Caenorhabditis elegans: one gene and its partner. The protein of the gene in region 2 purifies or fractionates together with the protein of the main gene of each other region. This does not show direct contact. Each region holds a gene or a part of one and is shown on either strand. Other genes may lie near its edges. The genes, in order: hcp-3 and knl-2.

Evidence for each region.
Region 1: the proteins of knl-2 (region 2) and hcp-3 purify together in Caenorhabditis elegans (affinity purification with western blotting, with the first as the bait; one study listed by BioGRID). This does not show direct contact.

Annotation. Positions count from the first base shown.
Region 1 is NC_003281.10:9,614,660-9,618,170, reverse strand, and holds hcp-3 (Histone H3-like centromeric protein hcp-3), read left to right. Parts: upstream 1-1,700; 5' UTR 1,701-1,717; coding exon 1,718-1,809; intron 1,810-1,860; coding exon 1,861-2,107; intron 2,108-2,155; coding exon 2,156-2,458; intron 2,459-2,510; coding exon 2,511-2,735; 3' UTR 2,736-2,865; downstream 2,866-3,511. Other genes in the region: F58A4.6 (DUF4807 domain-containing protein), read right to left, coding at 2,887-3,007, 3,056-3,201, 3,245-3,415, 3,465-3,511. UniProt on the Caenorhabditis elegans protein: Histone H3-like variant which exclusively replaces conventional H3 in the nucleosome core of centromeric chromatin at the inner plate of the kinetochore.
Region 2 is NC_003279.8:6,459,110-6,464,850, reverse strand, and holds knl-2 (Kinetochore null protein 2), read right to left. Parts: upstream 3,974-5,741; 5' UTR 3,861-3,973; coding exon 3,777-3,860; intron 3,729-3,776; coding exon 3,642-3,728; intron 3,596-3,641; coding exon 3,032-3,595; intron 2,988-3,031; coding exon 2,505-2,987; intron 2,458-2,504; coding exon 2,323-2,457; intron 2,276-2,322; coding exon 1,922-2,275; intron 1,783-1,921; coding exon 1,160-1,782; intron 1,112-1,159; coding exon 964-1,111; intron 911-963; coding exon 755-910; 3' UTR 565-754; downstream 1-564. Other genes in the region: acdh-3 (Short/branched chain specific acyl-CoA dehydrogenase, mitochondrial), read left to right, coding at 32-177, 233-553. UniProt on the Caenorhabditis elegans protein: Required for the recruitment of hcp-3, hcp-4, knl-1, bub-1 and lin-53 to kinetochores, kinetochore assembly, chromosome condensation and chromosome segregation in meiosis and mitosis.

The DNA of each region.
Region 1 (3,511 bases), on a different chromosome or scaffold from region 2:
GTCACGAAAGCATTTTACGCATCATTGTGATAGTATTCTTACACAGTTTGTCACCCCATTCGTCGTCGCGAATATTTCTTCATGTGTTCAATCTTTTTTTGGGCAGAATGTAGAAAAGAGAGAGACAATACTGCAAAAGTGATATTGAAGAGGTTTCCGTGTGTGTGTGTGTGTTGGTGTTTTGAAAATTCTAAAGACACAGAATTGGAAAGGAAAATGAATCAACACGGAACACGTACACTTTTTTTTGGAAACAAGTTTAGTATTAACTTTGCAAAACATGTCATGTCTATCGTTCTATCGGGATAATGGTATTTGAAAAGAAATAAAAAATAAAGAAAGAAACCAATCAGCGTTTCCGGACTCCGCCCTTTTTGTCTGATTGGTGGAAAAGTGTGCGGAGCAATTTGCTAATTGGTATTGCAGTTCTTGTTTTGGAGGGAATTCAAATTCAAACAGAGCGATTAGCCGAATTTTTTGGCATTTTAGACTTTTTTGGTATTTTAAAATTATAAAAGTTGGCTTATATGTTTTCAACAAGCTTCGGAAAGCTCATCGAAATAAAATAGGTTTGCTAGTTACGAGCCTTTCCTGAATCACTTGGTGTCAGGATCAAGTGTTTCATTTTTCGATTTTTCGCTGTTTTGATGGGAAAAAACATGGAAAAAAGCGGTAATTGAGACGTAGTTTCCAACCATTGTCACTCGGTTAGCAGGCACACTTTTCCGGCCGAAAAATTTTTTGAATTTTTTTAATATCATATATAAAAAATCCTATTTAAAACTATAGATCAGTTATGAGACGTCTCATGAGACCACGTGATTCGAATTGAAAACTTGTGCTATGTCATTGCAGTAGACTCGGCTTATCGAACACTGGATTACCAGGTCCAAATATAAATTTATTATAATTTTTTTGCAGCGAAGTTTTAAGCGTTCTTCGATTATAAGAGAATATTAGCTCTAATTATTATTTCTAGACCTGCTTGAATAATCGCCTTCCGCGCAAGCGGAAGTTGCTGGCGCATCTCTCGTGTTACTTGCACATTTTAGTTTTTCAAAGCGCGCGGAAGCGCGAAAATTTGGTTTTTCTTTTCTAGAATTTTCTTTTGTCTGTTGATGGTGACTCTCAGATTATTGTCACCTAAAATTAGGAATTATTTTGATTTTTTTTCTTTTTTTTTCCTTTTTGTATCAGACTATTTTTACATTTTTGTGTGTTAAAGCTCCAGAGTGTCGTGAAAAACACCGAATCATTGTCTTCTCCGGCGAATATTTGTTTTTTCACTGCACTTTCCAAAGTTATCTCGATAAAAAATTATACAGCTAATCTCATATTATATATTATCGCTGTATGCGAGACACAGCCCAAGGCAGTCCAAGTTTCGTGAAGTTTTGATGGAATATTTATGAAGAATCGTTTTTTTTTCGAAAAAAACAACACAATTGTTCAATCAGCTGAACTAAATTTTTATAAGACCCAAATATTGATTAATTAGGCGACCCCCGGGGTTGAGTCCGTCATTTATGTTGTTTTGTGTGCACTTTAGCGTGATGTCGTCTGCGTATTTCCCTGCGTCTCTCGCCGCCAATCGTTACTTATTTAAACTGCGTTCGCATTTATTGCTTCTTTAATTCCTTTTTAACCTTCAAACAAATCGTCTTAATTTAGCTTCAGTTTTCTAAATTTTATATTTTATCAGGATAATCTTCGAACAATGGCCGATGACACCCCAATTATTGAGGAAATCGCCGAGCAAAATGAGAGCGTCACAAGGATCATGCAACGTCTCAAACATGACATGCAAAGGTAAGTGATGATTTTTGTTTTCGTGCTACAAATTAATGTCTGCTGTTTCAGAGTCACTTCAGTGCCGGGATTCAACACAAGCGCCGCAGGTGTCAACGATTTGATCGACATTCTGAACCAGTATAAGAAGGAGCTTGAGGATGATGCAGCCAACGACTACACTGAAGCGCACATCCACAAAATTCGATTGGTCACAGGCAAACGGAATCAATATGTCTTGAAGTTGAAGCAAGCCGAAGACGAATATCACGCGCGAAAAGAGCAAGCTCGGAGAAGAGCTTCGTCTATGGATTTCACGGTTAGTTTCAATTTTGTATGATTTCAAACAACATAAAATTTATTTCAGGTCGGCAGAAATTCCACGAATCTTGTCGATTACTCCCACGGCCGTCATCATATGCCCTCATACCGTCGACACGATAGCTCCGACGAAGAAAACTATTCTATGGATGGAACAAATGGCGATGGAAATAGAGCTGGCCCATCGAACCCCGATCGTGGTAATAGAACTGGCCCATCGAGCTCCGATCGCGTGCGGATGAGAGCCGGAAGGAACAGAGTCACCAAAACGAGACGTTATAGACCGGGCCAGAAGGCATTGGAAGAGATCCGCAAGTACCAAAAAACTGAAGACCTTCTGATTCAAAAGGTATACAATTTTTACTTTATTTAAACTATATTAAAACAATTCCAAATTTCAGGCTCCGTTCGCACGCCTCGTCCGCGAAATTATGCAGACTTCCACTCCATTTGGCGCCGACTGCCGTATTCGTTCTGACGCCATCAGTGCTCTTCAAGAAGCGGCGGAAGCATTTTTGGTCGAAATGTTCGAAGGATCGTCTCTTATATCCACCCATGCGAAACGTGTCACACTCATGACAACGGATATTCAGTTATACAGACGTCTCTGCCTTCGACATCTCTGATAACAATATTTGCAATACTCATTTTTCGATCTTCAAGCCATATTTATCTCATCAATTTTAGCGCTGTTTGATCTTTTGTGTACCGTGAACACGTTTACTATTTGTCAAATAATAAAGATTCATTACTTGTAAATGAGAACATTTTATTTAATCACTTGTTCGAACTAGCTTTTCCGAAAATATGAATAGCTCGAAGCTTCTGATAGACTCCTTCGCAGCATCTTTGTACAATATCCGTGTTCGGATTCTGTTTGGCCCAGTGATAAATTGCTCTGAAATTGACCACGTAAATAAGCCTTTTCTACTTTCAAGAATCCAACCTAACAATATTAACAGCATGCGAGAGATTTCCGAGTTGTGCTTCTGCGAGGGCGGTATACAGGTAGCATCGTGCAAGAATAACTGGATCTCCATATTTTTTCGCTAAGTTGATTTGATGAGCAGTAATTTTTGCAGCGACTTTCGCCTGAAAAGCTAGCGTTAAACTAAAGTGTAAACTGATAACTTACATAATTTGCATCGAAATCTCCCATAGCTGAATAAGCGCCACCTAGAGTAGACAAGTTCCACATGAGCTTTTCGAGATCAAGCATGTATCGGAAATGGTGTTTCAAACGTCTTTCCCAAGCATAATCGAGATTTTGTGCCGGATTTTTCACTTGGATGTTGACAAGAAGTTTCTGAAGCTTAAATATAATAACTTCTGGCAATAGAAGATAAATTAGTTACCTTATCGACGGGAATATTATAGAAGGCACGTATTTGAGCAAACGAAT
Region 2 (5,741 bases):
GAAATCAAAAATAACTTTCTAATTATTATAGGATACAAATATGCGATCGAGTGCCTGAATGCTGGACGTATCGGAATCGGAGCACAAATGTTAGGATTGGCTCAAGGCTGTTTCGATCAAACAATTCCATATCTTCAACAAAGAGAACAGTTCGGGCAGAGACTTATAGATTTCCAGGTATTATTTGTCAAAAGACTGAAATTAAAATATTGTAATTATCAAAAATTTTCAGGGAATGCAACACCAAATCGGACAAACACGAATGGAAATTGAAGCTGCTCGTCTTCTGGTCTACAACGCTGCTCGCATGAAGCAGAATGGACTTCCATTCGTTCGTGAAGCAGCCATGGCCAAATTGTTTGCATCACAAGTTGCCACTACAGCCACTTCGAAATGTGTGGAATGGCTTGGAGGAGTTGGATTCACCAAGGAATTCCCAGTTGAAAAATTCTACCGCGACTCAAAAATTGGAACAATTTACGAAGGAACGTCCAACATTCAGCTCAATACCATTGCCAAGCTCGTTGACATCGAATATCAACAAAAGGCTTAATTGATTATAATAATCATCTCCTACGGCGTTTTCAGTAGTGAACAATCGAACGTATTTATTTCTATTCGTTTATATTTTTCAGAATGAACAATTTGCAACTTAGTATCGAGTTAATATTTTACCAAACTAGTATAAAAAGGAAAAATTCATCATTTACAGTTATAAAGAATAAGTGCAGTAGAATAATTCCATGCACAGAGATTAGTAGATGGATGTGTCTTCTTCACGCATATCATCATCGTCATCATTGTCTTCATTTTCGTCGTCTTCGTGTATTGTTGTTCCACGATTAATAATTTTCAACGCCTTCTGAGTTCCCTTTTCTAACGAAATACTTGTATTCTTGTTACCACGATACTGCAAGATATTTAGTTGCTTGCATGAAATTTCCCAATCTTTTTTAAACCTACCGTAGAGTTGTTCATAGATGAGGACTTTTTCAGTCTGGAACTAGGTCTCGCTTGCATCATGGAAAGGTGCTGAACGTATTTGAAGTTCGTTTCAATATCCTTTGCCTTCGTTTGTTCTAGACGCGGTGAATTGAATGTGGAATTGTTTCTGAAAAATTAATGCTTTTTTAAAACTAATTATTTTGTATAAATTTACCCTCTGCTCATTGGAGAGTCTTCAACAGGTTTTGGCATAATTGAAGCTCTTGTTCCTCCTCTCTTCTTTGTAACTATTGGTGTTCTGAGAGCGAGCAATGATTGATCAGCAGCCACATCTTCTGGTTGATAGTCTTCCATTGACTCAACTCCACTTTGCAGATCTTCAGCTCTATGATTTCCACCTTCTCTCAGTTCCTCATGCATCTTTACATTTTCCTTCACTCTGGCCACAGCTCCACGTCTTCTTTTCTGTTCAACTTCTTCGACTTGTTTCAACACTTCTTCATTTTGCTCTGGTTCTACCCATTTGAGTCTTGTGATAGCAATCTGTCTGACTACTTCTGGTTCAACGACACCTTCCTTTGCCAAGAGGCGTAAAACTTCTGTCCAATCTGCATCACTTGCAGAAGGCTTCTTCAACGCAATCACACGTTTCAAACGATCCAGATCTTGTTTTCTCCATGTAATTTTCTTTGCAACTGGAGTTACACAAGAACGACGAGGACGATTACATGCTATACTATCATTGAGATCACGGTTATCTTCCAAAGATGCTCTCTTCTTTTTGCGAGCTTGGGCTGGTGACTTAGTTGAATTAGCCGGTTTTGAGCGCGTGGCCTGCTGAAAGCTATATGATATTTTCTTGCGACGAGGACGTAATACAGGAGGCATCTTGACTAATAGCAAATTAGAAAATGAATATTATTTGTCAGGTTTTTTTCACGGTCGTTTAACCAAATAAATAATTAAAACCACTCACCTTTTTCACAAATTTATCCTTTCTCGCATTGCTTCTCTTTGGTATTCCGTCTCCAAACATCATTGAATTATCCAGAAGCTCTTGGTTTTCTATGTCCCATTCATTTAAAGACTCTTCAGCATCGGACGAATTAGATCTATGACGATATGATGAAGATGACGCCTTTTGTGATTTTTGAAGACGATTCCGTAATTCTTTCTCACGACGTACAATCGCATTCAATTTTTCTTCGTCCTCGCCACTTCTGGAGTTTGCATGATTTCGCCGTCTGCCATAGTCATTGTAATCACGAGGTCCTCTAGGATCTCTGTATTCATCACCATGTCTACGATGTTCTTCTTCGAAACGAACAGACTGAAATTATTGAATGTCCTCAAAACGTCATATATTCTTTTACTTACTCTTCCAGAAGAAGAAGACGCGTCTCTTCCACGGTATCGTTTCGAGTCACCTTGGATATCAGCATCATAATAATCTCTACGCCTCGCACCATCGTCATGACGGCGACTGTACTCGAAATCATCACGCACGATGCTCTGTAATAATTTTAAAACCAATGACAAATTAACTGATTAATACGAACTCTTTTTCTACTCATTCTTGATTCATCTTCGTGTCTGCGATATGTGGCGTTATGTCTGCTCCATCTACTGTTATCATGTTCGTATCTCTGAGAGTATCGAGATTGTTCATAACCGTCTCTAGATGAAGAACGATGGCGTGGTTCTGGTGATGGTGATGATACATTCCGCCTTCCTGGTTTTCGTACCCGTCCTGGGGTGCTTTCAAAATGAAAAGTATCAAGAACAGAGTCAACATCTGCGAATATGTCGACATTCGAAGCTGCTAAGTTACGTACACTCTTGGATGGAGGAGCCTTTGGAACCGCAAACAAGTCTGCATCCGATGCAAACTGAGCATTCCGTGCAGCTGGACGCGGTGGTGGTGGTTGTACCGCTTGAACGCTATCTTGAGATTTTTGTGTTGGTGGAATTTGATTATTGGCCCCGTCAGCCAACCGTTGTTTTTGTTGAGGCGTTGAAGAAGCAATAGGACCTTGTTTTCTCTGAAGATGACAAAATATTGTTTCCAACATAAATTTTTACTTACCACTGGAGTTTGCTCGAAGATGAATACTTTTTTCGCGCCACCATTGTCGTGTCCCCGTGTGAATCTTATCGGAGTGATTGGCTCGCCGTTCTGAGATTTCGGAGCACGAAGGGTGTAATTAGCTTCTTCCAGCTCTTCCTCTTCTTTTCGCCTTCTTTCAGCCTCAGCTTCAGCATCTCGTCGTTGTTTTTCTTCTTCTAATCTTCTCTCACGTTCCTTTGTTTGCTGTTCTTCACGCTCACGTCTGTTCCTTTCTTTCTCGTTTTCGGAATTTTTCTGGCATCCTCCAGTTAGCTCGGTTTCATCTGCCAACGTAACAATTGGTTCTGTTCTAGTTCTAATTGGTTCTTTTGGAGCCTGTTGGATAGGGCGAAGTGCGCTTCTTTGGTTGGCTGACATGCAGGAATAGATAAGGTCGGCCCAATTTTCAGGAATTCCATTTGAAAATTCATCAATAATTCTACTAGGCATTCCCATTTTTTGTTGATATTCCCGATCAATCTGTCCGACCAAGTCGAAGAAACGTCCGGAAACATCGAAAAGCAACGTAGAAGTGAAGCGTCTCTGAATATTTAATGAAAATTGTTGACGAATATGTTTCTCGACTTACACAAATAAATTCGGAACAAACTTTCTGCATCATAGTGCCTTCTTCATTTCTCACAAAACCTTCGAGTTTGAAACTGGTCGCGTTAAACTGTAAAAATATTGAAATCATGAAAACTTAAAAAAACTAGACAGTTACCTTCATGGACCACAAGTTGAGACGAATGATTTCGCTATCAAGTACATTTTGTACTCGAAGAGGAACAATTTCCGTATCACCCATTAGGCATAAAATACCGTTTATTGGAAGAAAAACAGAAATCGGAATGAGATGTCTCTCTGATTTGAATGCAACGCCTTGGCGGCAAGTGCAACGGAGCGTGTTTGCCTGGAGTCGTTGCAAAATAAAAACTGGGGAATACTTTAATTGCTCAAGAATTAGTTAGAAAAAAAATGGTAATAGCTTGAATATTTGGCTTTGAGTAGTATAAACGGTTTATTTATAGTTTTATAAAATAATTGTTCCAAAAAATCTCTAATTACACTGCTTGAGATAATGAGATATCAGTGAATCTGTGTTCCATGATTTTTACATTAATTTTATCCGCAAGGTGTCACCATTGAACATATTTGAAACAATATTCTTCGAAGCCATTCTCAATATTTAATTTGTTTTTAAAGAGCTTTATAATGAAAATAAATGAAAAATATCGACAATTCATGCTTTTATTAATTTTTCCAAGTCTACTCACTTAAATCACATTTTTCTCCATGATCATCGATCGATATGATTGTTTTCTCCGTATTACAATTGTTTGTTCCTACGATTTTGCCCTAGATTCTGCAAAAGCATTAGTCATTCACAATTCTCTATGTCCGCTCACCGCCCGTCCATTCTAAAGTGGGCGATGATGATTTCGCAATACTCTTTCTCTTCCTATGAACAAACATTCTTTCTTCAATATATTCTTACTGCCATTCTTACAATCCTAAGTGTTGATCGGTCGATAGCCATTCCGATTCCTACTCAAGCTAAAGTCAAGTTGTTCTCACAATCATTCAATAATTCTACATATATGTACATAGCTTCGGGAATTATTTATTCCATACTTTTCCAGCTAAATTGAAGGTTAAAAAGTATACCATAAAAACATATCGATTCCAGGATCAAATTATTCCATGCAGCATGGAATGTGAAAAAACTTCAGATGATTCTGAAAAGTCATAATTTTCGATTCGTTAATTAATTTCGTTAATATGAAGTTAATTCTAAATAGGTGGGAAAAAACTATTATTCAAATTTTCATGAACAGATTAGCTTGAAGTTTTGTGAAAAGGTTTTAATATTAATTTTCGCAATAATTTTGTTTTAAACTCAGAATGATTCATGCCGCTTGAACTTTTTCTTTTCATTTTTTGTTGAACCTTCTCCCACCGGAAACATAAAAACACATGATCCAACTACCACCACTAAGCTGTCAACACTTTGCCCTTTGCTTTCGCCAAGCTCTTGTGAAGCAGCTCATGTCTTTTTTCTTTTTCATCCTTCCAACAACGCGCGCTCTCTCTCTCTTTCTCCGTCTCTATTCCTTTTCTCGTTGTCTCGGTTCCATCGATCTCCCATTCAACATACGGCCGAGGCGCCCTCTCTTGTCTGTATCTCTGGTCTCTCTATCATCTAGAGAATGAGTCCTTTTCTTTCTCCACCATCTCATCAAATTAAACGTCTATTTCGGGGGTTTTGTCTATCTAGTAGAGGTCCAACCACACTAGCCTTCAAAAATTTCACCACGCCCAATGCCCTCCACCACTGAGAATTGACCCTTGTCAACAACCTTGTCTTCTGAATTTTTGATGACAGAGGCAACGGCTTCTTTTGATTTTTGAAGTTTTGAGATTGCGACTTCCTTTTCATCATTGACTCATTTTTTTCGATAATCAAAAATTATACACTACGAGGGAGCGATGTTCTCTTTAATTTTTTTTTGCTGTAGCTTCTTTTAATTTTCAAAACAATTTATCAAAACATAGCTTTCTGAAATCACCCTGAAATTTCAGCTGAAACTTATTATTTGAAAAAATATTAGAAATGTATTTTTTAACTTCAAAAAATCTAGCACATTTTGATATTCACCTATCATAATTATGAGTTAGTGTTCCTATT